Linked DNA regions of Notamacropus eugenii. The protein of the gene in region 2 purifies or fractionates together with the protein of the main gene of each other region. This does not show direct contact. Links are inferred from orthologs where the notes say so. Each region holds a gene or a part of one and is shown on either strand. Other genes may lie near its edges.

The links.
Region 1: the proteins of COP1 (region 2) and ETV4 purify together in Homo sapiens (affinity purification with mass spectrometry; 5 studies listed by BioGRID and IntAct, with this or other methods). This does not show direct contact. The link is inferred for Notamacropus eugenii from reciprocal best matches to the Homo sapiens genes COP1 and ETV4.
Region 3: the proteins of COP1 (region 2) and ETV5 purify together in Homo sapiens (affinity purification with mass spectrometry; 6 studies listed by BioGRID and IntAct, counting the BioPlex papers as one, with this or other methods). This does not show direct contact. The link is inferred for Notamacropus eugenii from reciprocal best matches to the Homo sapiens genes COP1 and ETV5.
Region 4: the proteins of COP1 (region 2) and SOX2 purify together in Homo sapiens (affinity purification with western blotting; 3 studies listed by BioGRID). This does not show direct contact. The link is inferred for Notamacropus eugenii from reciprocal best matches to the Homo sapiens genes COP1 and SOX2.

Annotation. Positions count from the first base shown.
Region 1 is NC_092873.1:359,872,548-359,880,328, forward strand, and holds the start of ETV4 (ETS translocation variant 4), read right to left. Parts: upstream 3,018-7,781; 5' UTR 2,790-3,017; intron 2,443-2,789; exon of another isoform or gene 2,335-2,442; intron 2,145-2,334; 5' UTR 2,091-2,144; coding exon 2,031-2,090; intron 1,697-2,030; coding exon 1,603-1,696; intron 1,273-1,602; coding exon 1,225-1,272; intron 1-1,224.
Region 2 is NC_092873.1:470,079,772-470,087,465, reverse strand, and holds the start of COP1 (E3 ubiquitin-protein ligase COP1), read right to left. Parts: upstream 3,006-7,694; 5' UTR 2,855-3,005; coding exon 2,430-2,854; intron 1-2,429. UniProt on the Homo sapiens protein: E3 ubiquitin-protein ligase that mediates ubiquitination and subsequent proteasomal degradation of target proteins.
Region 3 is NC_092873.1:55,502,740-55,510,180, reverse strand, and holds the start of ETV5 (ETS translocation variant 5), read right to left. Parts: upstream 3,009-7,441; 5' UTR 2,680-3,008; intron 1,327-2,679; exon of another isoform or gene 1,126-1,326; intron 1,078-1,125; exon of another isoform or gene 973-1,077; intron 1-972. UniProt on the Homo sapiens protein: Binds to DNA sequences containing the consensus nucleotide core sequence 5'-GGAA.-3'.
Region 4 is NC_092877.1:342,641,515-342,648,666, forward strand, and holds SOX2 (transcription factor SOX-2), read right to left. Parts: upstream 3,009-7,152; 5' UTR 2,432-3,008; coding exon 1,382-2,431; 3' UTR 157-1,381; downstream 1-156. UniProt on the Homo sapiens protein: Transcription factor that forms a trimeric complex with OCT4 on DNA and controls the expression of a number of genes involved in embryonic development such as YES1, FGF4, UTF1 and ZFP206. Binds to the proximal enhancer region of NANOG.

The DNA.
Region 1 (7,781 bases), about 110 Mb from region 2:
GAGAAGGTGATAGGGACAGAGGTATATGATTCTGGGTCTGTAATGGTAATTCTGACAGTGAGTGATCTACTTAGCCTACATTTAAGGTTAGGAGAAAAGTGTTACTTATATTATATCCCTAAAGTTCCAGTTATCTAGCTAAAAGTTCTTTTCAACTTGCCCCAAAGTTCGCCTGTAGTTTGGAACCTCCAAAATGTCATCTGAGTAAGATACCCGCAGTTGAGGGGTAATAGGGAGAAGCACCATAGAAATTTCTGTTGTTTCTTCATCACCAAGATGTTAAAATGAAATGAGCTTCAAACAGAATGTTAATCCTTCCAGCCTCCACCATCCAAAATGTTTACAAACAAACCCACTAACATGCCACCAATTTTATCAAAACAAAACTATGGAAATATGCCAACCAAAATAAGATGATCTCAAAGATCCTGTCCACTTCTAAATCTAATATTCTCAGATCTTATTAAAATATATCAATTATCCCTTCCAAAACGCCCTAGGTGAAATACATCAAACAACCACACCCAAATCTAGATTCTACCCTATCAAATACATCTTCTGACCTTAACACAATACATCCATCATAGCCATCAAACCCTCTAGTCTCCGATTGGAAAAAACGGATGGGAGAATGTAACTTGGAAGGTGGAGAGGAGAAAGAGGGGAAAAAAGTAGAAATATCTGATTTATGACCAAGGGAATTTAGGGACAGATTGGGGGGGGGTGTGAATAATTTCAACTTTTTTTCTTCTTTTGTCTTACACACTGAATAGCTGATTGTCTAGTGGGATGGGGGAGGGGGTAGGAAGAATCAGTGTTTTGGAAACTCTGGAAGATAAGTAACAAATTAACTGCTCCTTTCCCCACTCCACCCCCACCCCAATACACACCTCAGTCTTCCTTCGGGGCCAGGCAGACTTTGCAAATGAAAATTTCAACAAGGAAAATGGGCCTGAGGCCAAGTTCCATTCATAAGCAAATACCCCGCACAATGGTCTGATTCATCCCCAGGCCTAGTTACACAAGCTTAGGAGCCCGCTCAGGGCAAGAGAAAATAAATACATCAGTATATATGTCCACACACTCGACTTGGGGGGGGAGGGGGGAAAGGGAAAAGTCGACGAGAAGGAGGTGGTTTGGGGGAGTCCCAAAACTGCGGAAAGGTAGGGGTGGGGGAACAGGGCCAGAGGGAAAGACGAGCAACCACACCCCCCCCAAACTTACCTTCCGTAAGCCAGGTCTCCTGGAATTGGCTCAAGTCCTGGAAGAGATCTGAGGGGTGAATAGATTAAAATGGGATGGGGAGGTGCTGGTGGGGTGGGAAGACCCGAAAGATGAACTCAAAGCGGAGGAGCTCCCCCTTCCCAACCCGCACTGAGGCATAAGGAGTCCACTGAAGTGGGGAGCACTAGGGAAAATAATACTTCTGTCCTTCGAAAGGAAATGCCACAAGTGTTGGGGGGGGGGGGGGTGGGTGGGTGGGAGGGATTACATACTGAGCCCGGGTATTTATTTGGAAGGCCTGGCTGGGGATTGGGAGGATGCGGTGTGGTATGGGATGGGGTAGGGGGAGGTACGGGTCCCCAGAATCTGGCACTTCACCTTCTGACTCCGGGGGTGGCAGGGAGCCAGGGTCCATGAGTTTCCCCTGTGTGACCATCAGAGCTCGGCTCAGATTCCCATTTCCGGGCGATTTCTGGGGGTGGGGGGAGGCGGGGGGGGGAGAGAAGGGCCCAATGGACCCCGAGTCATCCTCTAGAGTGGTGGAATTGGGGGATGGAGATGTATGGGGCGGAGGCAACCAACCAAGGGTGGTCACGGGGCTGGGGCGTGGAGGTCTGAGCTAGGTCCCCGGGGACTGGCAAAGAGCTGGTCCTTGCTTGGGATGCATGGGGAGAGGAGGGGAGAAAGTGGGGGTGCGGGAAAGGTCTCCGGGATGGCCGAGGGGCGAGGAAAGTTGGGGAGGGGTGTCGGAGGAGGCAGGGGCTAGAGGTGCCCACGGTGCCTGAGGGGCCGAGACCCGCGCTCACGCTGGAGAAGGTGTAGGGCACTTGCTGGTCCACGTATCCGCCTTTCATCCTCCGCTCCATTCGGCTCCTCCCTCAGACCTCGAGCCTCAGCCCCACCAAGGTGGGGGGGAAGACCTGGGGTAGGAGTGGGGGGAGGGCGGGAGGAGAGTGGGAACGGGGCTTCGCTCACAGACCGCCCGGGAAGGGGCTTGGGAGAGAGGGGAAGGCCACTGGCTTCAGTTGGGGACCCGAGGTGGGATGGCCAAATTTCTTCACCTCCGGAGGGAATGAGGACTTCCCCACTGCCCGCCAAGTAAATTCCCACCTGCTCTCGGAAGCTTTACAATCCTTCCTTTCCTTTCTTTCGGCAACCCTGGACTGCTGGGATCGGTTACATAAGACTTATTTTGTGTGTGTGTGTGTGTGTGTGTGTGTGTGTGTGCGCGTGTGAGTGCGCGCGCGTGTGCGTGGGGGTGGGGGGAAGGCGACTGATGGACCATCCTCATGCAAGTAACTCAACCCACCACCTCTTTTCTGGATACCTGGGCTCCTGGTCCAGCAACTCCCCTCTGACCTCCAATATTTGCTTCCCCTTTTCTCCCCCACCCAAATCTGCTAAAGCATGTGTATGCACTCGCGATTGTGCGGTGTGTGTGTGTGTGTGTGTGTGTGTGTGTGTGTGTGTGTGTGCGTGTGTGTGCGTGTGTGTGCGTGTGTGCGTGTGTGTGTGTGTGGGCGGGGAATCACTCTTCCTCCCCCTCCCTTTCCCCTCACCCTCACCTGAGGAGGGGGCGTCAGCGTAGTTGCTGCTTTGGGGTCCAGAGCATGTCCCCGGATTGGGAAGTAGGGACTCCGGGTCCGACTCAGAGCAAGGCTTCTTTAGTCCCCAGTCCCAAGCGCACCAACTTGTTTTCCGGCTGGAGCAGACAGTTGTGTGCCCGGGGGACCCCCCGATTGGAGCATTTCCTTCAGCTCGGGCTCAGCTTTCCCCGTTCCCTTTGTTTCATTGACTTTTGTGAATGAAACCCCAGGGCCGGACACGCCCGCCAATCAGGATCGTAGCCCGTCCGAGCCCGGGGGCGGAGTTTCCCAGCAACCAGGACCAATCGGGACGCAAGGCCTGGTTCTGGGCTTCATTCACGGCTTGGGCTCCCATTCATAAAAAAATAAACTTGCTGCTCTAGGAGTTCATTCATAAAGGGCTTCGTGGAAGGGATAGGAGAAGAGCAGCCGAACTGAGAGGGCCCGGGCGGGTTCTCAGCGACGCTTATCCAACAAACTCTGTGATGGAAAGGCGGCGGATGTCTCTGGCTCTGAGATTGTGTGTGTGAGTGTGTGTACACACCCGTCCGGGTTTGTATAGCTGTATAGGTGCGTGCGCAGCGCGCTCCCCACCCCGCAAGAATAAGTGTAAATGTGTGTGAGTGTGTGTGTGTGTGTGTCTGTGTACTTAGATGGAGCGCACAGGTGGCCAGCCAAGCATTCCCCTACAAGGTCCTTGTAAACTCCACAGCCACACTTTCCCTGTCAGTGTTTCCATCTCGTGCCCTAGGGGTTAAAACCTCCAGAAAGGGTTGTTTTGGTGGCTCAGAGGTTCTCTGGCCTTCTTTGGAGCCAGTGTGGGGGTGGGTGGGGATGGGGGGAAGCACCCAGCGGCTGGTGCCCTTGAAGAATGGCCAGGCTTCAGTCGGCAGAAAACAGTGGTGCTACCGGGACTAGAGCTTTGAGGAGGCACAATGGCAATGCCATCTCCCTTCCTGGTGGGGGTGGGGAGTCCAAGTAATTTCAGGGACTTGGACTGGGTGGGCCCAACCCATAACGATGACGTGGTAGGTGGAAGGAAGGAGGAGGTGGAAGATGGGGTGGGGTGGATGTGGATTTTGCCTGCTTTGGGGGCTGCTGGGCAAACGACAAGTATCCCAGGCCAGATTCCAGCCGGGACCCTCTTACTACTCTGCTTTCACCAGAAGTACTGACTCCACTGAAAGCAGTGTGTCCTCCTGGGGCAGTTGCCAATCCAAGGCCACCATAGTGGGAGTGTGGGGAATTTTTTGACCCTGTCTCAGGCTGTGGGAGCGGGATAGGGTGGGGGCGGTGTGGAAGAGGAGAGAAAACTATCACTTGGACACTAGTAGATATTCTCCTGTAGAAATAATGCTGTTTTTTTTCACCTGACCTCTGATATATGGTGCCTATGACTTTTAAAAGGAGCATTTATTCCTTTCTCTGTCACAAAATATATATAGAGAGAGGACCAAAGGGATCGGATTGGGAGTGGGGGGGTCCTTTCCTGAGCGACTATTTGGAGAGCAGAGATGATGTCTGGGCATAAGTAAGAGATTCAAATGTAGCAAACTTTTAAAAAAGTATTAAGTGTAAGGAATGGAGGGGGGGAACAGGAAGAGAGCAAAGATGAGGAGTATCTATAATCCTTTAAGGTTTACAAAGCACTTTCCTCCCAAGAATTCAGAGGTATTGCAAATACAATCCTCAGTAACTTGTTTATAGACGCACATCTTGGTAAATGTCAGTTAGGGGTCCTCTTTACCAATCTTCTGAATTCAAAACAATTGCTCCCCGCAAACTCCTCCTTCCCACCCTCTGCTATAAAGTCTAGAAGAGAGTTTACATTTCCACAACATGTTAAAGTTTTAAAAATACTTTTTATTTTTGAGACATTTTGCTGTTATGTCACATTCATTTGGAAATATATTTTTTTCCCCTTTCCCAGCCAGTCATCCCTATCAACAAAGATTTATAAGAGGAAAAGAAAAGCACTTGCAAAACTATGATGTCTAACAATACATACAATATTCCATACCCATAGCCTTCATATCTTCAATGAAAGGAGGAAAGTAACTCATTATAGGTTGTTTACTAACTACTTTCTGAACAACACCACTATCAAGTAGTTCCTGAATGTTTTATTATGCCCATTTTATGGATGAAGAAACTGAGGCCGTTTGTCCAAGGTCACACAGGAAGTGCCTTTTCGAGAATTTGAACCAAAGTCTCTTGCATTCAAGACCAGTGAGCTTCATATTTCATCTTGCAGTTTTGAAGGGGAACAAAAAATATGAACATAAATCTTTAGCACAAAACAGAATGTGAACAGTGCATCAAAGATGTAAAGAGTGACATTATTCCCCTTTACACTGAGTTTTTCAACTAAACTGATGTATCACTATTCCCAGACTCCACTTCCCACCTCCATGCCTTTTTGCTCAGTCCTCCTCATCTTTAATCCTTAGTACCCCTGCTTCCTGCCAGGCTCAGCTCAGGTCCATGACCTTTTCCAATCCTTTCACGATTCCCCTACTGCTTTCTCTCTCCTCAAACTACCTTGTCTTTACTTATTGGCATATGATGTCTCTTAGTGTTTACCCTCCATTTTGGGAAGAGACTCAGACCTGCTATTCTTCATTCATTCTTTTTCCAGCAGAGACCAGACTCTCAGGTTTTTCTGAAGGAACCTCTTATATTTGTGTGTCCCGTTGCTGAGCACAGTGTCTGATTCAAAGTAAGCACTTACTACTTTCAGGCTCACCCCTTCCTCCATCACTCAGTAAACTCCCTACCTTTGAGGTTCAGACTCTTCATATCTTCCACCCATTCAAAATCTTGGTAGCGCCCCTCATGTCGCTTTCCTTTCTTCCTCAAAGAATTCAATACCTAGCTTACAATTTTTCTTTCCTCCCCAAACTCCTGCCGTCATACTAGGAGATTTAAACATACATATTGATTCTCCCTCTAACATCCAAGCACCTCCCATGAACTAATTCTCCACTCCATCTCAGCCACACACAAAGATGGCCATGCTGTTCATCTTGCCATCACCCACAAATATCCTGCCTCCATGTTCAAGGATTCTGAAGTCCCCTTATCAGATCATAACCTATTGTCTCCATATCTTTCCCCCTGCCTTCCTTTATATAATGCTATTTATTCTTCATTCTCATCATGACTTCAAATCCCTTGATTCCTCAATTTTCTGCCAGGCAGTCTCCCCTGCATTAGCTACATTCTCCTCTTCTTCCCATTATGGCTGCTTGGTGAATCAAATCCACCCTACACTGGCTTCCTCTCTTGAATTCCTAGCCCCCATAATATGTTATACTGATTACCATATTATACCATGATTATCCCATAATATAATATACTGATTATGCCCAGCCAAGCCTCAGCTCCGAATCACTCCCACCATTCACTGCCTTCACACATACTGCTGAAGCAAGGTGAAGAAAATCACTTGACTTTCCACAAATAATGGAATGTGTGGGGTGTTCTAGAGGACTAGCACCTCTGCCATGAAGGCTTACTGAGCCCTCTTCAGGGATACTCATCTACCTTTGGTGTCTGTCTGGCACACAACTCTCACCTGTGTCTCCAAAAGCTGTAGCATGCACAGTCTTGGTAGACAGTGACCTGCTCCCCTGTCAGTGAGTAAGAGGGATGTCTACCTCAAGCATGTGTAGACTTTCCCCCAGTTAAATGAGTGGATGAGAACAATTTGTTCCAGCAGCCATGAAGATGGCTGAAGCAGGTGCTGTGGAGTACTTGGTCAGACAGAGAAGATGCCAATGTCATCCACTGGACCATCACCAGTTGTTCTGGCTTTTGTCCTGTTACTGGACTTTGATGACCCTGGAAGAGAGAGTGAGGCTGAGGACTTTGCGCAACTGCCTCAGTTAAAGCCAATTTATTTATTTAATTTAATTTAATTAATCTAATCCAAATTATTCAAGACATCACCCTCATTGATCCTCTTCAAAATGAAGGACAAATACTAGATAACCTCAACTGGACCGTCACTGCTGATAGGTAATCTTACTACATAATCCTACTATACCTCTCTATCAACTCATTATCCCATTGTCCACAGTCGCCCTTCCAAACTTTCTCTTCCCTGCTCAAACCTCTCATGGCTTCCTCCAGCCTAACTCTCTCAGCTAAGAAATTAATATTTTAGAGACAAAATTTAAACTATTTGCCACAAACCCCTTATTCTCCCCTCTTCCTCATCTCTTATCACTGAAATGCCTTCTGTCACTATCTCCTCCTTCAGGGTTTCACATGATGAAGTAGTCTTACTCCTTACCAAGGGTAATCCCTCTACTTGTTTAAGTGTTCCCATTCCATCCCATCTCATCCCACAGATTGTCTCCTCTTTCTTCCCTGCTCTCACTTATTTTAAGTCTCTCCTCTACTGGTTCATTTCCTCCTCCTCCTCTATTTCCTAACAAACATTGTTCCCCTGTCCTGAAAAAATCCTCATTTGACCCTTCCATCCCTGCTAAGTATTGTCCTCTATCTTTTCTGCTGTTTGTAGCTAAACTCTATGAACAGGTCACCTACAACAAGTGCCTCTCCTTTCTCTCTTTTCATTCTCCTCTTAACCTCTTAGAATCTGACTGCCAACCTTATCATTCCATTGAAATTGCTCTCTCCAAAGTTACTAATGATCTCTTAGTTGCCATATTCAATGGCCTTTTCTCAATTCTCATTCTCCTTGATTTCCCTGCAGCCTTTGTCATTGATGATCACTCTCTCCTCCTTGGTACTCTTCTCTCTGGGTTTTGGGGACCTTACTCTCTCACCACTTTCTCCTACCTGATTGCTTCTCTTCTGTTTCCTTGGCTGGATTCTCCTGCACATCATGCCCTCTAACCATAGGTATCCCTCAGGGTTCTGTCCTAGGTCCTACTCCCTTTATATTATTTCACTTGATCTCATCAGCTCCCATGGATTTAATTACCATTTTTATGTTGTTGA
Region 2 (7,694 bases):
CTCCTTGCACAGAATAGACACTTAATAAATGCTTGCAGGATTGGGTTGTAAATTCCATGAGAACCGAAACAGTAACTAACTTAAAACTTTGTATCATTCTCTCCAAGTCCTTAGTCCTCTGATCACTGTTTCATTTTTTTTTTTACTTTGTATTACACCAAAGGTCTATAATACCCGGCTTACGAAAGGTGCTTAATAAATGTTGAAGGAAAGAGAGAGTCAAGTCTCACCTCCGAAGCTAACTAGTCATGTGACATCGGCCAAATCACCCAGCCCATCTGAATTCCAGCAGCCTCATTCACTTCCTCCTCTGTCCTACTTTTCATGGTATGGAGGTGACTGGGTTTTTTAAGGTTAGGCTAAAGAAGAACAGGCTTTGGCAGGTCCTATTAAATTGTAAATGCTTCAACTACCAATCTGGAGACAAAAAACCAGCCTGTCAAAATCGGGAGGCTCATCCCCACAAGGCTGGTTATTATTATTGTCAGCTACAGCAACTCATGAAGGCAGTCTACTAAGATATAAATGACTGCAATCTGCATCAGTAGAAGGATCATTGTTATACACGTGATTATACAAATGTAAGTCATTAAAATCAACCTCCAAATTCCACGACAATCATCAATCTAGACAACTTTAGTTATCATTGTATCAAAACTACAGACACTGAAGAGAATCCCAAATTCCAAACTGCTCTTTATGTAACAATCACTTCTCTTTGGGGGTGAAGCCCAACTGCCCCATGCCCCTCCCCCCAAAAAAACCAACAACCATGGCTATTAATTGCCACAGATAATTTGAATCACAACCATCCAACCTCTAATAACTTATATACAGTGGAGAAGGCAAGAGGGATAAGTATTTATAAAGAACCTACTATGTTCTTCTATCCTAAGTACTTTTTTACAAATATTATCTCATTTGATCATCACAACAATCCTGACAGGATTGAGGTGGGTAACCGAGAGGTAGGTGCTTGTTATTACCTCCATTTTACCGTAGAGGCAACTGAGACAAACAGGTTAAGTGACACACAGCTAGTGTCTGTGGCTAGATTTGAACTCAGGGCTTCCTGAGTCTAGGCCCAGCCCTCTACTCCCTGTGCCAACAGTCGCCTCAAGCCACACTGGACTGGAATCAGAATCTGGTTTCTTATCACAGTTCTCATGATTACTGGCTGATGGACAGTGGGTGAATCATTTCACCCATGTGAGCCTCAGTTCCCTCTTGTGCAAAATGGTAATACTACTTCTTATACTACTAAACTCAAAAGGTTTTGGTATCATCTTTTCTACCTTCCCAGTCTTCTTACACTTTTACTCTTCTTCAAGAACTCAAGCTGGCCTATTTGCTGCTCTTCACATATGATGAAGCTCCATCTCTCAGTGCTTGCAGTGCACTCTCTTACTTCCATCTCTTGAAATACCTGGAATCCTTTAAGACTCCACTCAGTATCATTTTCTGTGTGCCTTTCCTGATTCTCCCTAACCACTATTTCTCTCCCTACAAAAACCACTTTCAGTTTGTTTCGTGCATACTTGAATATGGGCATGTGCACATCTCCCCATTAGACATAAGCTCCATGAGGACAGAAACAGTTTCTTTCAGGTTTGTTTTTTTTTTTTTTACACTTCACCTCCAATGCTTAGCACAGGCCCTCGCACCTAGATGCTTAATAAACACTTTATGATAAATCTTAAAGTGCTACAAACTGTGTTTAACATCATGTACAATATATGTGGTACACTGAAATACACCTAAGACATTAAAAGATAGTTTTTCATTGACTTCAAATACGCTAATAGTCTCACTGGCAAGATTCACTGTACACAGACGATGAATATGAGTTAATAGTGAGTAGTGATAGATCCTGTACATTTGTGTATAGCTTAAACAATGCTTAGCCCATCTACAGGTAATCAATCAGTCACTCAGTTACCATTTATGAAGCATCGCGGATATTCCCGGGCACTGTTGTTAAGCACTGGGGATACAAATAACAGCAAAAAAATAGTCTACTTTCAGAAAGTTCAGTCTAACGGCACTCCATATCCCTTTCACTTAGAGCAATTCCAACGCATTCTCTCTAGTCACCATCCCCTCCATAAACTTAAGGTTGCCCAAAGAGTTCACTGCCATTCCAAGGGCCTCCATCCTCACTCTCAAACTTCACCAGAGACGCCCTCCCACACTTCAATTCCATTCAACAAGTCTGGGAGCTCCTACGCCTGGTACTTGCTGAACTGGGAGCTCTGACTTCCTCACTCCTTCCTCTTAATCCTTCTTCTGCCCTCCCGGTGTAACTCGCCACCCACCAGGGCTGCCCCCCAGGGAGGGCCCCCGGACCGCTGGGCATCACCTGCTCCCCGCCGATCCCACCCATCCCAGCGAGAGAAGGGGAAGAGGAGGAGGGATGCTTCTCCACGCACCAGACGAAGTCGTTGCTTTTGTCCTCGTACGAGTTGATGAGCCCGTTGCAGAGTGGGGTGTGCAGAGGCCGCTTCCTGCTGCCGCCGCCCGAGCTGCCCCCGCCGCCGCTGACGGCGCTCCCGGGCCTGGCGGAGCCCCCAAGCCGGGAGAGGCCCGCGGCCAGGGCCCCGCCGCCCCCGCCTCCTCCGCCGCCCGAGCCCGACACGGCGGCGGCCACTAGCAGAGGCCGTACGGCGGCCCCGAGGCCCCCCGAGCCGGCGGCCCCGCTGGACCCCGCCGCGGCCACCACCGCCGTTAGGGACGGGGGCGACGGCGACGACGACGACGAGGACGACGACGACGAGGCGGAAGTGACTGAGGAGGCCGCGGAGGAGCTGGGCCCTGTCCCGGCAGCGCCGGGACCAGCCTGGCGGCTGCCGGACATCGTAACCCCCCCTTCCCCGGGCTGGGTACTCGGAGGAGAGAACGAGGGACCGGGGACCGGGACCCGCCGCCGCCGCCGCCTCCCTGCAGCTTCAGTGCATCCTGAGGACGCGCACAGCGCAGGGGGCGGGGGCTGCCACCGGGGAGGGAACAATAAAGTTGTTTAAAAAAAACCGAACACAAACGGCGGCCCGCGGGAGGAAGCCGGGCAACTCGAACACCGGGAGGGGGAGGGAGGGGGAAAAATGCGCTCTCGAGGCCGCAGCTCCCACCCCGAGTCCTGCGGCAGCCAACCCCGAGCGAGGCCGGCGAGAGCGTGCGCACGCGCACTCTAGACGGAGGCCGAGAGAATGGGGAGGGCGGAGGAAGCCCGAGAGGTACAACTTTATTGGCAGCAGCCTCCGCGCTCATACACACAACACACACCCATGGCGGCGGCGACCACTGCCTAGCTACGGAAGAATTCCTTGTTGAAAGCTTTATTGATTCACGACGTACAGCAGAAACTGGAAGTGGGGCCGGGGTAGGAGGGCAGTGAGCAAGGGGCGGGGAGAAGAGAAGCGCCCAGAGTAGAGAGTGGTCCACAGTGCCCGAGCCCAGGCAAGCGAATCGGCCAACGATTGCGCAAGCGCATTACGAACCGAGCATATCCTCATTCCTAAGAGTGAGGAGACCTAGAGGGGAGTCTGTGGTACGGGGTGGTTTCCGACACTGCGCGTGCGCAGGATTCCCAAGCATTCCTGAGGGAGGAGAGGGGGGAGGAGGAGGAGGAGGAGGAGGGCAAGGACCGAGAGTCAAAAAGGAAAGTTAGCTGATGAAAGCGGGCGGAATGTTCCAGCGGAGAAAGCGAGACTCGGTACAGAGCCAAAGATGCCTTCAGTGGTGGAGAGGGTGCAATTTCAGTTCCACTCACATCTATGGTGGAGCTGGCAATTAGAAGACCTGCACTCCAGTCCACACCTCTGCATCCTCCTCTGCGCCTCCGGGCTTCCCTGAATCCCTTCAAGTCCCCAAAGAACTTTCTACAGGAAGCCTTTCCTGATTTCCCCTTAATTCTACTCCCTTCCTCCTGTGGATTATCTCCAATTTATCCTTTATGTTGCTTGTTTGCATAAATTTATTGATATGTTGTCCCCTCCATTACAGTATAAACTTCAGGAAAACAGGGGTTGGTAGGCAGTTGCCTACCCCAGAGGGGGTATTTAATAAATGTTTATTGACCAAGCCTCTCACCTCGCTTCTCTGGATGGACCTCATTTTTATCATCTGCTAAACGAGGGAATTGGGCTAGATCCTTTTCAAGGCCAACTTTTCTTTGATCCTCTAAATAGAGTTTTCAGTTTTTAACGAACCCTGTTCAAAGTTTGTGGAAGACCTTAAGAGTCCTCTAGGTGCTTGCCCTAGGAAAAGCAAATTTCAGGAGAGGTGAGGCCTTGGTTGGGCATGAGTGGGAAGGCCCAGCAACCCAGGCAGTCATCTGGACTGCCTTTATGGAAACTACATTGTTACAAAGGTAACACCCAATATCTTCGGACACACCTGCCCAACCTACTACCTACTTATTGAGCCAAACCCAAGGATTACGGATTAACCCCAGCATTCAGGAGTAACGAAATACCAGCCATATTCTTTCAGAATCTCAAAAATACCTAAATACCACCTTAACTACAAAGAAAAATATTATGAAATTAAAATATAGCTGCTTGTCATCATCGACAAATTTACATATGCCACTGATGGAATCATACCAGTCTGCTCTAAAAAAGTGAAACCTTTGGCAACTACATCAGTTCTTAACATGAGGTTAATATATAGATTCCAGAAGGTTCATAGATTGGTTTAATTACTATTTTGACCACTTATTTCATTATAATTGCCTTCCTTTGTAACTTTATGCATTTAAAACATTTTGAGAAGAGGTCCTTACCTTTCCCCAGACTTCCAAAGGGTATCCATCACACATACACATACACATGCACATACATACACAAGGCTAAGAACCCTTAAGCTGTGAAGTGGTTTGGTTAATATAATCTTTTAACACCAGCACCATAAATGGATCTAATTGTATAAAATCCTTAAATTTTGAGATGAAACTTTAGTACTGCTAAAAAGCAGTTTCTTGAACAAAAGTTTGTTTTATAGAAAATACAGTGGATATTTTATAAGTCAAATATAAATTAATGCTAATTAAGTTGAATATAAAACTAAATCTAAGTATCCTCAGCTAATATTTTATTGAAAAGTTATTATAGACCTAAGGCAACATGCTGGATATTGGGAATAAAAAGCTTTTCCTTCAAGGAACTTGATATATGTAAGGATACATGAGAAGAAGGAGAAGGAGCCATCAAATGAGTTGTACAAAGAAGTAACTGGGACAGTCAGCTAGCATTTAGTGCCCACTCTAGGCGTGGAATGTTGCATACATTTTCACACAGTCCAGTCAATTCAGCTAGTATTTATTAAATGCCTTCTGTGTGCCAGGCACTGTACTAAGCAGTGGGGATGCAAAGAAAGATAAAAGACAGTCCCTACTCTCAAGTCTAATGGGGAGACAATATGCCAGTAAATAAGTGAATTACAAGACTTAGGATAAATTGGAGATAATCAAGGTTTGAAAGCATAACCATTAAATGAAATAGAAAAAGGCTTCCTGCAGAAAATGGGTCTTCAGATGAGACTTGAAGGAATCCAGAAGGAGATGAAGGAGAGAGTTCTAGACATGAGGGACAATGACAACACTGAAAGCAGAGAAATGGGGTGTCGTTCAAGGAACTGCAGGGAAGCTGGCATCACTGGTTCACATGGTATGTGGAAGCAAGTGAAAGGCATAAAGGACATCCATACCAGGCAGTTACCTCTTCTGGGAGAAGGTGAGATTTGAGTTGGACCTTGAAGAAAGTAGGAGACTTAGATAAATGAGGAAAAGGAGAAAGAAAAATCTAGCTAAGATTGTACAAAATTGAGATTGTGCATGGTGTTTCAAAGAGCAGTAGTGACAATTTTGACAATAGTAGAGGATTCATTTTAAAGCTGAAGAGATAGAAAAAGGCCATACTGTGGAAGCCCTTGAATGACAGACTAAGCAGTTTTAATTTATCTTCTAAACATGACAGTAGTGGGGGATAGCTAGGGGGAAGGTATCAAAAAAGGGCAAAGATAAACAACGTATTAAAAATATTGACAATTGGTTGTAGAATAGATGAGGATGGGGGGAAAGGTGGAAAGAATTGAAGGCAGAGAAAGCTGGTAGGAGACAATTACCATAGGAGGCTAGGGGTCTTGACAGTGAATATACAATTAAAAGGGGTCTAGTCAATTAAACAGACTTTAAGGAGAGAAACAAATCAAGGAAAATTTAGTAACTAATTGGATAGTGGGGGAGAAATAAGGAGAAGTAAAAAATTACTCCCAAGGTTTCAAATTCACATAACTGGGAGAATAATGGTACCTTTAACAGAAATGAAATTCCAAAGTAGAGAACTAGTTAGAGGGGAAATGATAACTTTAACTTAAACAGATTGAGTGAAGTTAAAAGTGACAAGGTGAGGATACAAGTCATGCTGCCTAGCAAAGAGGATGAAGTTCAAAACAAATAAAAAAGACTAGTGCTAGAGATGAAGAACAGGAAAGGTTCATAAGGTAATAGAATTTAAGATTGGGAAGGCCTTAGAGATCATTTCTAAATCTCTCCTTTTAGAGTCATGATTAACAGGACATAATTTGACATATTCCCTGAAGTCATGATTCATGGAACATAATTTGACATATTAAATTTGATATATTCCCTGGCCTGTAATTGGAAAATTGTAAGTATAATTATTGTGAAGGAAAGCAACAAGGGACCAACTAATACATTTAAGGAAATTTGTCATTGTCCTTATCAATGCTTATTCAAATGCCATCTTCATTCATTCAGAATTAAGATCTCAAAGGAAATGAGTGAATGGGATACAACCCCATCTTCCTTTTCAGCTGGAAAAATGTACAAAGAATTTAGTGCTACATAATTCTTATTATTTTTGTTGGCAAAAGTTTTTCAACATGAAAGCAGATTTTGAAATGTGAGAAAGCAGAAGGGAAAACCTCAGAGTCACTAAACAGGAAAGTACAAAAAAGGAACTCAGAAACACAACAAGAAAGGAGGAATAAGGAGAGTAGAGGGTGAAATAAAAGAGGTATATGAGAATAGATTCAATAAGAACAAAAAAAAATGAAAAAATGTTCCAAAAACAAAAGATAGTACACTATAATGAATCTTGTGCCATGTATGATTAAATCACAAGTCTTTTAATAATGGCCCTCATCTATTCTTTTCAGTGTTCTAAGGTTATCAAAGTGTGAAGCATGAATGCATGCAGTCCCAAAGTCCATTGCTTGAAGCACAGAGTCCTTATTGGGGGAGATGAATACCCAACCCTACAAGGTAACATTAAGAGCTCTCTCTCATCCAATCTTCTTTGGGATTCTCAAAGCTTCCCCTTACTTTGCATGCTCTGTCTTCCAGCTTTGAGAAGGAAAATGGAAGAGACCAACTATACTCAAGATTGATGAGAAAAAACTCTGGGAAAACTTGAGAGGAGCTCGCAGACTCTATCATGTCCCTATCCCTAGCTTGCTACCCTAGCAACTTCAGAGTTTCTCCTTGGGTGAGATCCAGAATTCTCTCTCTTAGTTGAGCTGAGTTATATTACTCCCAGTAGGAGAGTGCCTTCGCTACATGTTGTCTGGTATATGTTCTCCTGTGTATACTTTTGGTGATTTCTGTTTTGTTATAATTTAGATAAATTGGGGGTTTTTTTGCTGTTTGCTGTGGATGTTCATTGTAGAACTGGTAT
Region 3 (7,441 bases), about 410 Mb from region 2:
CTCTCTCTCTCTCTCTCTCTCTCTCTCTCTCACACTGGGGGGGAGGGGGCGCGAGGGCGGTGTAGGGCGAGCAGGAAAAAGAAACCCACTTCATTCATAAAGTCACCCACATTCATAAAACTTGCAGCCGCAATCGCGGCCAATTTTCTCCCACGTTCCCCTTAACGGTGCGGGGTGCTGGCCCCTCTGCATCCCTACAAAAGGATCCTGTCTCCCCGAGGCACCTCCTTCCACATCTAATTTCAGCCCCAAAGTCCCCCAGAAAATGGGGCCTCATAACCAGGCCCCCAAACGCAGCTCCCCAGCCATGGCTCCGAATCTGTGCAACCCCTTCTCCCGATCCCACAACACTTTTAAACTCTCTTCGCCCTCCTGAGGACCCTCCAGCTCGGCGATCACCCCAGTCTACTCCACTCTCTCAAACCTGTGCACCCCTAAATCATACTTCAATCTCAGGCTCCCAGGGACTTCCCCTCAGGCCACGTCTGAAGGTCCCCAACCTTCTCTAGTGCTCCCCAACCTCAGACATCACTGGGCACCCCACCTAATTTCAGGCTCCCCCCAACATCGCCGCAGGCAGCCCAGGAGCACCCAGACTCAACCCCTGGCCCTCCAGGCATCCCCTTGCAAGCTGCCAGAGAAGCCCTCAAACCCTTCTCAATCACTCCAAGAACCCCCAACGGCCCTACGGTGCCCCAAATTCCCATCAAGTCTCAGAGAGCTCTCAATCTCCTTTCAGATCCACTCTGGGAACCCCCTAAACTCCCCGAGTTAGCCCATAGACTCTTCTCAGCCCCCCCTCCAAAAGCCCCCAAACTGGTTCCCTGAGCGCCTCCCAAATCTCCGAGGTCCCCAGAGGCCCCCAAACTACCCCTGGACCTTTCAAAGCCCCCCCCCCTCTCCGCGGTCCCCCGATGCACCCCTGGACAGGAGCCAGGACCCCCTCCCACTGGGCCGTCCCCCCCACCTCACCTGCCCCCCCAGCTGTGCCGGGCGCTGAATCCGTGTCCATGTCCATGACCGGCAGACGCAGACCCGTTACGGCCCCCGGCCCCGTTAGGCCCCGCCCTCGCCGGAGGCGCGGCCCCGCCCCCGCCCGCACCTGGGCGCGTGCCCGAGCCTCACCTGCGCGCGCGCCCGCCGTCGTCCGCGCGCGCGCCCGCCTGACAGAAGCGCTCCGGGCAGGGGCTCCAACCGGCCGGCAGCCCGCCTCCGTCGCCCCGGCCCGGCCCGGCGCTGTCCCGAAGCCCGCCTGCCGCCCGCGCCGCCCTGCCGCCGCTCTCGGGCCGCCTCGCCGCCTAGCTCCCTCGGGCGCCGCAGCCGCCAGCCCAGCGAGCGCAGCAGCCGCCCCCGAACTGGCTGGGCCTCCGCAGCCCCCCGCCGAGCCCAGACCGGCCCCCCTGCTCCCGCCTCTCCGCCTCTCCCATTGGCCCGCAGCCCCGCCCGCGCCCGTCCATCAACGCTTGTTTACCCCTTCTGCGGGCCAATGGCGAGGGGTCGGCACACCAGCCCCGCTGGGGATTGGGCCGACTGCACGTTCCGACCCGCCTCCTCGGCGGGGGAGAGGGGTCCTTTTACATAATTTATGCACCGAGAGCCCGGACCAATCAGCGCACTCTGGTTTACATAATGTGGTTCGGACGTTTTTCATTCATAAAAAAAAGCGACCTGAGGGAGAAGCTTCGCTGAGTCAGTGAAGCCTTTAAAGGGGCCGGCCGAAAGCAAAGACTGGAGGTGAATCTAACGCAGGTTAGCACAGGGTAGGATAGAGACCTGGATGAAATCTGAAAAACCATTTCATCACAGGAATGAGGCCAGAAGATGAAGACCTGGAAGGGATCTTCGAAATGAGAACCCTTCGTTTTTACAGATGGGGAAACTGAGGCTCTGAACGGTTAAATGACATATCCTAGGTCTCACAGACAGGCGACTGGAAAAAATGGACACTTGAACCCACGTGTATAACTCAAGAACAAGCATTTCTTTTCCAAGTGCTCCCCCGCTCACTTCTGTTCTCCCAAGACCCCCCCTACCCTCCTCTAGGGACCCTCCTTGTCTCTGCTTGTTGGGGGTAGGGAGAACTCCTTTTATTTTCCTCCCCTCCCGCCACACTAGAGTGGGGGAGGGGTGGGGGAGAGGGTGGGGACGGGCTGGGGCTGCTCCCTGCTTCCAGGCTCCAAGCCTGGCTTTCATTCACAGCTGCAGCAAACGGTGCAAAGTTATCTCCTGAGAATGGAAGAATTCGTCATTCTAGCCAAAAAAGAAACTCGCTGACCGACCTGGGCGTGTGGCCCACTGAGAAATACACAGTGGGAACCGAGTCACTTACTGGGAATGCCTTTTAAGCAGACCCTTCATTGGGAACCTCGCTTAGGTGGGCATGGGGCAGATTCTCAAAAATCTTCATTGTGGCTCTCTCTTTAATTATAACTTGAGTTCACAGCCAGATTTTAAGTGGTATTCCCCCCCAAAAAAAAATTTAGACAGGGCTGAAAGTCAGAGTAGAGTAGGTGAGCAGGGCTCCCCAAATCCTGTGCTTCTATCACCTTTTATCACACAGGCAAAGGGAGGACCCTGAAATTGGGGGCCAAGAGCCACAGAAGACCTCAGGAGAAGTCTTCAAGCCCTCATTTTACAGTCTCCAGAGAAGGGGAGCGAACCCATAGACTTGCTGCTTACCTCCAGTGTGATCTTGGCACAGTCACTTCCTTTCAATCGCCTTAGTTTCCTCGTCTACAAAAAAGAATACCCAGAAGGCGGGGCGGGAGGGAGAGACTACGTGATCCCCAGGTCCCAAGGCAGCTCAAAAGGTTTACTCTGATCCAGTAATCTTTGCAGAAGTCACACCATAAAGTCAACCAACCATGAATCCCTTGGAAACCGGGCTTGGTAGTTAGTATTCTAGCCTCGCTGGGCTGTTTGTTTGCAATTTAAGGAGTGTGAGATGCCGCATTTTGGAATTCAGTCCTGTACAGCTGGGGAAGGATGGAGAGCCCCCGGGGTCTGCCAAACAAATACGCATTAAGTGCAGTTGCTGGGATTCTTAACGCCATGTTCCTTCAAACAAGTAAACAAATCAGCCTTTTCCCCTCCCCCCAAGTCCCTCCCCAACATGGGGAGCCCACACAATGGTGCAGAGTAAGACCGTGTGGTACTTCTTCCGGCAGGACTAGCCAAGCGCCCGGGATGTATGCTGGGGAGCATGCTGTCTGAGCTCTTCTCCCGGTGTGACTTGGCAAGCCTCCTGACTAGTAACCCAAGAGATGAGGCTAGCTAGCACCCTTGGGAGAGGGAAAAGGGGAGATGGGGAGGCCAACGAGAGACTCCCAGGGCACGAATGCTCAGTCCCCTCACTCATGCCTCTTAGAATACCTAGTTCAGCTCAAGTGCTAACTTTGCACATGAGCTTTTGTCCTGATTCGCCCCACCAGATGCTAGTGTTCTCCCACCCTTGCGTCCAAATGACTTTGTACTTTGCGCTCTCTCTCTCTCTGTGCCTCTCTATCTCTCTTTATATATACTTTGCGCGCGCTCTCTCTCTCTCTGTCTCTCTGTCTCTATATATACTTTGCGCTCTCTCTCTCTCTGTGTCTGTCTCTCTTTACACACACACACACACACACACACACACACACACACACACACACACACACACACACACACATATAAAGAGCAAGTCATTAACCTCTGGAGATAATGACACCATCTGCCTCCCAGGGTGTGTGTGCATAAATGTGTACAGGTGGCTAATGTGAGATCATTTCTGTAAAATATTTTATAAACCTGAAATCACTATGTAAATGGTAGGTATTATTGTTAATACGAACCATAATTTTACATACAATTATTAATGTAATAATCATTATTGTTTATAATAAATCCTTCATTTTTTTAAAAATTCAGTTCCATTCACTCTGGTATACATTGCTTTACTTCTCAAGCATCTTACCTTCCACCCAATTTAAGAGACTCCAGGAGCAATAAACAAACAAAAAATTTCCACCAAAAGCTGCACCCAATGTAACAGGCCTCTCACATTACATGGGCTGTGAGGAGCCAGAAACATCAACCCATCTATACAAATACAGGGAGAGTCAAAGATCTTGTTAATGTAGGGAGACTCTGGTTGGGACCATGAGGCCCTGTTTGAATTTGGGATATTCTAGAGAGTTGCCTAAGTGACACACACAGATTGAATGATTTGCCCAGGGTGTAAGAGGTGGAATTTGAACCCAGAACTCTAGGGCCAACAGAAACAAAGTAAAAGTTGCCCCCATTTTATGCCTCTGGACAACATCTTTTCCCTGCCATTAGCAAGAGCCCATCAGATATGTAGATATGACAGCTTTGGTCATGCGTGCCACCCCCCCCCCACCCCCCCCACCCTCCCCCGCCCCAACAAATCTCTAGGTTAGTGTCTAGAGACCTAGCCATTTGTTGAGTGTACATTCCTGCTACATTGTGACGAAATCTCACAATGTCCTGGTAGGGGAAGTCACCTTGACTTCTCTAAAGCCTCAGTTTCCCCCAATGTCAAACAAAGTGGTCAAAAAAGACCTCCAAGGTCTAACCTTGATATTCTCTGTTTTCTGGTCCCTTCTCATTCTGGCATTCTATACTCTCTGTACCTCCCAGCTCTGACAGTCTGTGTTCCTTCTCTTCTGGGCTGATGTTCTAAGTTCTAAGGGCTCTCTATGAATTCTTTCACCTTACGTTGTAAGGCTTCTTTCTAACTAACATTCTATATCCTAACCATCTCCCTAGTAGGCTGGAAACATTTCTTCCTTCTATTTTGTTTTGTTTTCCACATGTTGTGAATAAAAGTACAGTGTAAAATGAGTGTATTAGATACCCCTTGATCTCAACATATGACTTATCGACCTGGTTTTCTGGACATTGTGGGGAAGTGTTTGTTCAGAACAATGATTTCATCAGACATCTCCCAGAGAGGAAATCCCATCCCCCAGTAAGTAATCCTTCTGGCTTTCTTATCTTGGAGAATTAGTTTTCTGGAGCATCAAGAAGTTAAATGGTTTGCTGGAGGTCACACAGACATATATATATATATATATATATATATATATATATATATATATATATATATATATATATATATATATATATAAAACCATATGCCTGTGTGTATACACATACCACATATAGACACATATACATGTGTGTATATATACATATATGCACACATGTGTGTACATACGTGTGCATGTGTATATACCAGAACTTGACCTCAGGTTTTCTTGACTCAGAAGACAGCGCCTAGATGTGTTACTGACATTCTGTGTTCTACTGTCCCTTTTGGAGTCTGTGATTTAAGGACCCTGCAAGCTCTGGCATGCTTCTCTAAGGCCCTTCCAGCCAACATTCTGTACCCAGTGTGCTTATGACACAGTTTTATGGCCTTTCTTGTGATCATAGGGAGCTGGACGGGAGCTCAAGATTATTTAGCCCAACCTTCTTATTTTACGAATGAGGAAATCTAGACCCAGAGGTTAAGTGACTTGCCAAAGGTCATACTGAACAATCAGGTCTCATAGTATCTTAGGATCAAAGACCTAGATCTATAAAGAAACTTAGAGGTTGTCTATCTACTCCAACCTCTTCATTGTACAGATGAGGAAACTGGGGCCCAGTGTACCTGTACCGTGGTGTCTCTTGCAAATGGGCAAATCCTCACTGTTCAACGCCTCCTTAGTCATTCTGCCCTTTCTCCCCAAATGCCTCCCAGTGACTCTACCCCACCCCCAACAAATGCCTTTATTTCCAGAAGATGATTTCTGTTTTTAGAATTTCCTTGTAGGGCACACACTGAGCCTGTGCTGCAAAGGACATTATATAAACAAGAGATTTCTTTTGCTAAAAAAAAATAATGTGTATCACCTACTAAGAGGTTTGGAAGAGGAAGCAGTAACCTCTATGTGGGACGCCATGTTCTAGCAAAGCTATAAATGTAATTTCTCTTATGTATAAGATCAGTATCGTGGGAGGTTAATGTTTGAAGCTATAAATCCCGTGTATCCATCAAATCAGAAAGATTTACATGACAGAGAAGCATGGGAATAAGTGTAGGGGCATTGAAGAATGCCCAAACTGTGAGTGTGTGTGTGTGTGTGTGAGATTGTTGTTGAACTTGACCAAAGAGAGTATTAGACAAGATTGTGCTTGTCTGAATAACCATCAGAGCTTGCATCAAAGTATGGGGGGTCCAGGATATGTCGAAACACATTTTTCTTCCAGGCATGGGTGCCAAGCCCAGATGCTGATTTCTGCCCCCTCCCACCTTTTGGTGTTCTCCCGCCAGAAATTAGTTTATATTTTGTCTTGAATTTTTATGTACTAGCTGTTTTCCCCCAAGTAGAATATAAGCTTCCTCAGGGCAGGGGATAGTTTGGTTTTATACCCTGAAATCCTTTGTGAGAAAATAGCTTTCACATAGTAAGCTTTTTTTTTGGTTCTTATTGTTAAATTCAGCTGATGTCATGTATCATCTGTGCACACCCATGCAGACCTGTGTGGCTTCTGGATCTGTCCAGCAATGGCAACATGTAAGGTGTATGAGTATATGGAGTGGGGAGCAGAGGGAGGTGATGTTCTTTTGGAAACTCTCAGAGGAATCCCAAAGTACAGGCACCTGGTAGAGAGGCAGTGTGGGGCAGTGGTTTGAGGGAAACAGCATGGAAAAGGAGATGGATATGCAGTCCTCTGACTGCCACCACTACTTGCTGTGTCACCTTGGGCAAGTCACTTAAATCTCATTGGGCCTCAGTTTCCTCATCTGTAAAATGAGGAGGATTGAACATGATGACATCTGAAGTCATTTTCAGCTCCAAATCTAGAATCCTATGATCCCAGGATCACTTCGACTATGTCAGGGGCTGACCATCAGTTAGTAATGGGAAACCTTAAATATTCATTGCGCACAAGAGTGTGTGAGTCATGAAAGAAATGAAACTTGGCGAAGAACAAGTCTTTCAAATTGAGAATCTCATGTTTATTAATAAACTCTCTGTGTGTCTTCTCTGTATCTTCCTTTCTTTCTTTGTCTCTCTGTCTGTCTGTTTTTCTGTCTCTGTGTCTTTGTCTCTCTCAGTACTGAACTTGAAATCAAGGGACCTGGGTTTGGATCTTAGCTATTTCACTTTTGTGTCTCTCACATTACTGACTCTCTTTGGGACCTCCTTGCCTTTACACCTCAGTTTCCTTACCTATACAACTGTAGGGACTAATTTTTCTCTAACATCCTTTTGTACTTTAAATCTGTTAGACACAACCAAGATGGGATTAATCATTTTGAAATGTCACCTAGCTCCATGTTCAAACTCTCCATCTCCTCCCTGTGCTCTGTACGGAGGGGGGGAGGTGGAGAAGAGCAAATTTGACTGTAAATAGCTGTAAATTAATATATATAGTATGTATTGTGTATATG
Region 4 (7,152 bases), on a different chromosome or scaffold from region 2:
TTTTTAGACCTGGTGCCCGGCAGTGGACACCTCGAGTCTATTTTGTTATTTTTCTTTTTGCTAAGACCACTCTAAGGAGCCTGGCATTTTAGTACCCCCAAGTACTTCCAAGCAACGCCATTGTCTTCTCCAAAGAAATCCAAGACGCAAATGGAATTTCAGTGTCCATATTTCAAAAATTTATTATCTCAAACTGTGCATAATGGAATAAAAACTTAAGTTGAAAATGTACCTGTTATAAGGACGGGATTAGTTCAAATATATGTACATGGACTCTCGGCAGACTGGTTTAAAGAAACACAGAGTCAGCCGAGTTTTTAAAATACAACTACCAAAAATGAGGGAGGAAAAAAAAACCGTAAATATCACAATAAATTTACAGAAATATTACAAACCATAAGAAAATATTTCAAACACAGTAATTTCAGGTCGCTCTTGCTGGGTTTTTTGTTTTTGTTTTTTTTTTAATTTGTGTTCAAATTGAAACAGAATGAAAAGTTTGGAAATAAATGCTATTATAAATTATCAGCCATGGCAGCCTGTGTGGAGGGGCCAGCTTTTGCTTTTTTTTCCTTCTTAACAATAAGTAAAAAAAATGAGTACAACCTAAACGTTTGCCCTTTTATAGAAAAGCACGGAAATGGTTTTTTGCAAGTATCCTAAATTTTTTCTCCTTTTGTACAATTTCTAAACAATTAAAATGTCCAAATTGAAATTAATTCCCTCCTCTCTTGTTTGCAACTGCCCCAAATCCCAGTTGCAGTGATCGGAAATTCTGCAAGAAGACTCTTGAAAAATATTGGCAAATTTTCAGATTAGAAACAATGGACATTTTGATTGCCATGTTTATATCGATAAATACTGTACAAAAGTTGCTTGCAAATATTAAAACATTTTTTTCGTCGTCACCTGGAGACTAGCTCTAAATATTATGGGTAAAGACTTTTGCAAACTTTCTGCAAAGCTCCTACCGTCCACGCTAGAACTTTTTAAAAAGTTTTGTGTAGTTTTCTTCCCTTCAGAGATCTATACAAGGCCCCCCTTGTCTCCCCCTCCCCCAAGTTCTCTGTACAAAAATAGTCCCCCCCAAAAAGAAGTCCGGAATCTCTCAATAAAAGTTTTCTTCTTGGTGTTGCCGTGGCTGTTGGGTTTTTGTTTTGTTGTGTTGTGTGTGTGTGTGTGTGTGTGTGTGTGTGTGTGTGTGTGCGTGTGTGTATCTAAGTTCCTCTTCGCAGTTGTCATTGCTGTAGATGGTGGGGAATTTCCCCCCCCTCCCATCCCGTGGTGCGGTGGGCCCCCTTCTCTATGCCATACAGTCTCTTTGTGTCTTTTTTTTCCTTTTCCTTAAAAAAAATGTTCCTGCCCTGCCGGGCTCCGGGGCTTACATGTGCGACAGGGGCAGCGTACCGTTGATGGCCGTGCCCGGCACCGGCGCGCCCTGGTAGTGCTGGGACATGTGAAGTCTGCTGGGCGCCGAGGGCTCGGGCACCTCGGCGCCGGGCAGGTACATGCTGATCATGTCCCGCAGGTCCCCGGCCTGGCAGGGCGCCCTGGAGTGCGACGACGAGGTGACCACGGGGGGGCTGGAGCTGGCCTCTGACTTGACCACGGAGCCCATGGAGCCCAGGGCCATGGCGCCGCCACCGCCTCCGCCAGCGCCGCCGCCGGGGGCGGCCTGCTGCGAGTACGCCATGCTGCTGTAGGTGGGCGAGCCGTTCATGTAAGTCTGCGAGCTCGTCATGGAGTTGTACTGCAAGGCGCTCACGTCGTAGCGGTGCATGGGTTGCATCTGGGCGGCCGCGGCCGCTGCAGCTGCTGCGGCCGCCGCGTTGTGCGCGTTGAGCCCCGGGTGCTGAGGGTAGCCCAGCTGCTCCTGCATCATGCCGTAGCCGCCGTTGCTCCAGCCGTTCATGTGCGCGTAGCTGTCCATGCGCTGGTTGACGCCGCCACCCAGGCCGCCGGCCCCGACGCCGACGCCGCCGCCCATGCTGTTGCCGCCGGGAGCCAGCAGGCCGCCGGGCAGCGTGTATTTGTCCTTCTTGAGCAGCGTCTTGGTTTTCCGGCGCGGCCGGTACTTGTAGTCCGGGTGCTCCTTCATGTGCAAGGCGCGCAGCCGCTTGGCCTCGTCGATGAAGGGCCGCTTCTCGGCCTCGGACAGCAGCTTCCACTCGGCGCCCAGCCGCTTGCTGATCTCCGAGTTGTGCATCTTGGGGTTCTCCTGGGCCATCTTGCGCCGCTGCCCGCGGGACCACACCATGAAGGCGTTCATGGGCCGCTTTACGCGATCCGGGCTGTTCTTCTGGTTCGTGCCGCCCGCCGACGTGGAGTTAGGGCCGCCGCCGCCGCCACCGCCGCCGCCACCGCCACCGCCGCCCCCCGAAGTTTGCTGCGGGCCGGGAGGCTTGAGGTCGGTCTCCAGCATGTTGTACATCGCGCTGCTTCCTGGATCGCGCGCTCCGCGGGCCCCCGACCTCCCCGGGCCGGCCTCGGGCGTCCCGGACTGGCCGGCGAGACTTTTCGGGGGGCCCGAGGGCGGGGGGAGGGGAGGAGGGGAGGAGAAGGGTGGGGGGGTCGGGAGCGCGCGTCTCCAGAAAAATAAGATGAGGAGCGATTAAAAACGCAGAGCAAGAAGACGAACTGGAAGCAAGATCAGGAAGAAAAACTCCTCCACTGGCTTCGATTTCTGCTGCCGCCGCCGCCGCTATTATTGTTATTATTATTTGGGTGAAACGCTCCTTTGAGCCCGGGGCTCAAAACTTCTTTCTCTCTCCCCCTCTCTCTCTTCCTCTCTTTCTTTCTCGCTCTCCTTCTCTTCTCGCTTGTTCTCTCTCCTCCGAGTCTTAAAGAGGCAGCAAACTACTTTCCCCCCTTTTGCAAACACTCTCCTCTCCGCCTTGACAACTCCTGAGACTTTTTTGAACAAGTTAATAGACAACCATCCATGTGATGGGGGCTGTCAGGGAATAAATGGGTTTTCCCGGACCAATCAGCGCGCTCGGGCTCCTCCACACAGGACAAGCCTCTCCGGCTGGTTTTGCATGAAAGGGGGCGGGGCTTTCCGCGCCGCGGAGCCTTCGGCGGCCCTGGGGGAGGGGGAGGCGGGTCCCACCGCCAGCCAGCCAGCCACTAAGAAACCTTTGTATCCCTCTCGCTGCAACAGGTCACACCACACGCCTTTTCGGAGGAAGAGGGTGAACAGCACTGTGGCCGCCTTGGGCTTTTCCCCCCTCAAACTTGGTATTGATTTTGGGGAGTTGAGGGTTGGACGAAGGAGGAGATTGAGTAGTGATGGGGTGCAGGGGCCTCTTAATCTAAGTCTCCCATTAGTATTTCCAAAAAGGGTCATAGAGATTTGGTGTGCCCACCCTTGTTCTTTCCCCTCCCCTAGGCACTTTACCTAGAACTACGGAATTAGCTGCCAGGCCCACCGGGCTACAGGTTCTCCTCCTCCATCATCCCCACCCCCACACGAAGGTCCAATTTGTCCCTTTAGCTTGCTTTCCTCTCTGGTATTTTTCATCTCACTGTGGTTTCTGCAAAGAAGTTGGAAAAGTAGTAGTCCCGAGACCATCTTCGCTCTCACTTTCCTTCCATGTTTAGAAAATATTTGTAAGCTCATTCCTGTCAAGTTTCAGGCCAATGCATCCATCCCTCGTTGCCGGGACACCACTTTTCTTCCTATATAGGCTTTGTTATCAAGAAATTGTAGGTATCTCATATCTAATTCATTCTCCTCCTGCTCCTACTTCGCCCTAACCCCCCTTCCCCTGGCTATGGCCCCGCCCCACCCCCACCCTCCCAATCCTTAATCCATTCAAACCGTGAGGAAAAGCAAAAAAAAAAAAAGCCACAAACCCTAGCCCTATATTCCTCATTCTCCTCCTCTTCCCTCCTTTCTCTTAAGCCTATCAGAAGAATTTCAGTGTCCCTTTCAAATAAGGAATGAGAGAAGCATAACTCTAATAAACGAAGGAGGAGGGAAAGAAGAGGGAGACAGAAAGAAGGAAACAAGAAGAGGAAGAAAGGAGCTGGATGAACGTGCCGTCAGTTCAGACTCGGACCTGAGATCAGACAGAACACAACTCCCAAGTTCTAACGTGCTATGGTTTTTAAGCGCCTCCAACACAGTTCCCACAAGCCAAACTTTATCACCCTTTCCTTTTGTCCCCGTCGCTCACTCCCCCCAAAGTCTGCACTACACTCCCCACCTTCTTTTGGCTCAGCAGTGCGCTTGGGACTGGGCTCCCCGGGGCCGAGAGGTCAGGGTGGGGTGAGGTCTGCCAGACCCATTCAGGGTCAGGAGAGGGGAGGGAGCAGGCTCTGGACAAAAAACCTGGAAGGGGGGAAGGGAGGAAGGAGTGGAGAAGAGACAGGACGAGAAGGGAGGGGGTAGGTGGGAGGGGGACTGGACTGGAGGGTCTCGGGAATCTTGCTCGCCGCGGACCCAGGAGGGTAATTTTAGCCGCTCTCCCATTGTCCCGATGTAAAGATTTCAATAGGTAGGAGCTCAATGCGTAGAGAAATGGGAGCACGTCCGTTACAAATAGGTAGTTTTGTTTCTGTTGTTGTCACTACACGCAGGCAAACAAAGCCCGGTCTAAGTTTCCTTCCACTCTCTTGTTGCGATCTTTGTGGCTAAAATGCACTTGACTACAAAAGAAAAAAAGAAGCAGCAACCTCATGCTATTTGTGGCTTATAAAGGACTTAAACCATCAGGGTTATTTATTTTTTTCTCCTTTAACACCCTACCCTACTCCCCTCGGTCCTCCGCCCTTCACTGGTAGGCAAATGTACCGATCGCTAGCTCCCCGGCCACGTTCCCTTTATTGCATTAATTCACTCAGCATAAGTCCGAATTACTGTGGAGGAAGAGAAGTCGCGGCTCCCCTTCCATCATTACACCCCCCCACCCCCTCCCGCCCCGCTCTGTACTCTTCTCTCGTAAACTAACTTGGAAAATTGTGGGGAGGGGGGGGAGGCGTAAGTCATGAAATCGATGTGTGTGGGGGGCACTTTCAGAATTCCTCTAAATTTAGCCCCCCTATCTCTTCAAAGAAAGTGGGTGGGGGCAATACTTCCAACTTATTTTCTAAAGTTTGGGTCTTAGTTATAAAGCCTGGGCTCCTTTGAAAGGGGGAGGGGGATGTGGGACCCCCGGGACTGTCTGCTTTACAATGGAATGAGAGGTGCCCCAACGCGCCCAGAGACCAGGCCAAGGAGGATGGGAAGAATGATTAGGGAGGTTGGAGGCGGAGGTGGGGGTGAGGTGGGGGGGGGGGCGGTCGGGGCCGCAGGGAGGGGCTGCAGGAGCCAGGAGCTGGAGCTGGAGCCCTGCCCGAGGTGGCTGCCACAGGCTTTTCTGCGCCACGGGTTTCAGGGACGGGATTGGTGCGCCCCCTACTGGCGCGAGTTTTCCCCAAGAATCGCGCTTTTCATTTTAAAAAGAAAAAAACGTTAGGCAATCTTCATCTTCTCCCTAAAGAAGGAGGGATGGGTGGGGTGGTGAGAAGCAAAATTAATTACAAGTAATTTTTATCAACAGATTGGTGTGTGTCCCTCAGAGGCGTGTAAGAGTCTGATTCAATTTACTCAACTACTTAACGCCTGTCTAATCCTTGGGCTAAAATTAGGGAGGGTGAAAATTAGGGGCGCCTCTTCTTCTGGGTGTGTGCGCTTGATCACATCATTCCCCCACCCCCGGGTCCTTTCTTCCCCTCCCTCCTCTAATCTCGCAGCTTAATTAAGTTTGGGCCGGAGGTAGGTTGCCGTGGGGGTAGCCATGGGTGGGGGTTGGTTTATTGCTAGAAATTGATAACTGGTGCCCGTGGAGACCCGAGTGCATTTGTCCGGTCTTCTCGGGATGGGCAATAGGGAGTTGGGGCTCGCTCAACTGAGACAGCCGGAAGATTCCTTCCCACCCCCACCTCTGATAACCAGATTGCATGCATTTATGCCTGAACTCTATAATAATGCATTTAAGAGGTGAAAGGGGCTGGCTTCGGCCTCAGCTAATTGCGTTGATCACATAAATGAGCGGGGGAGAAAATGCGTCACAATTGGGTCCTCATTGGCTGCATTTATTTTCAGCTTTGTTTTAATTAAGCGCGTTTGACTTATCCGCGCAGTACAACTAACTGTCGCTGGCATTCAGGCGTGAGAATAATGTGCTCAGGAAAATCAGGAGCCACTGAGGGCGCGGAAACCCCTTTTCCCAGTAGATTTCTGACGACATGTATATTTACGAAATCGAATCCCTGGCCACACCATTGAAACTCACGGCCATCACTCAGCCCTAAATACTCCTAACCTCCAACCCCACACGCTGGAGCAAGCGCCCCAGTCCCACAGTCCTTCCTGTTAGCCTGCTGCATCGCTAATAACCACCCTCCACGCACTCCTCAGGAAGAGAATGAGACTTAAGACAGGGCTCTTCGTTCAGGACTCTTTTTCATGTTGTCTTTGGTATAATTTATGGAAACGGAAAAATGCGTGTAGGAAACAGGATAGAAATATTCCTTCTTTCCTTCCCTTCCCCCTCCCCCTCTTCCTCCCAAAGGACGGGAAATAACTCTTCCATACTTTTATTGATAGATTAGTTTAAAAGGTTGGGGTGTAGGAGAGGGCGGGGAAGAAGCTCCTGGAATATTTTGTCTTCCTTCAGTTCTGGGATCGGCCCTAGGTAAAAGCCCTTTAGAATCCCCCAAAGAAACAACTTCCTGTGGTAAGTGGAAATCTAACTTTTTAATTTAAGTTTATTTATTTCTGCGTGTCCACTCCCTTCTCCTGCACCCTCCCCCCCCCCCCCCCCCCCCATCCCAGCAGTAACACATCTAAAGCTATCAAACAATTTTGTTCGTCGAAAGAACCGCAGACCTATTTTTTTCTCCCTAGCGGCAAATAGAGGTTTAACTTGCGGTAATTAGGTGAGAACTAGCCTAGCATCTTACTATTACGATGCTCGTTAAGAGACGCTTCGTTTCTGCATCTGCATCTGAGAGCGCTCCCCTCCACTCTTAATCTTCTTATGGAAATGAAGGCGAGCGGCAGGGAACCCGCAGTCTAGGAGAATGTCCTTGTTAACTGGAATTTCTCAGCATTGCTAATTAGCAGAGTTTGACGACCACCAGTATTGGGGGAGAGCTCTGTTTAAC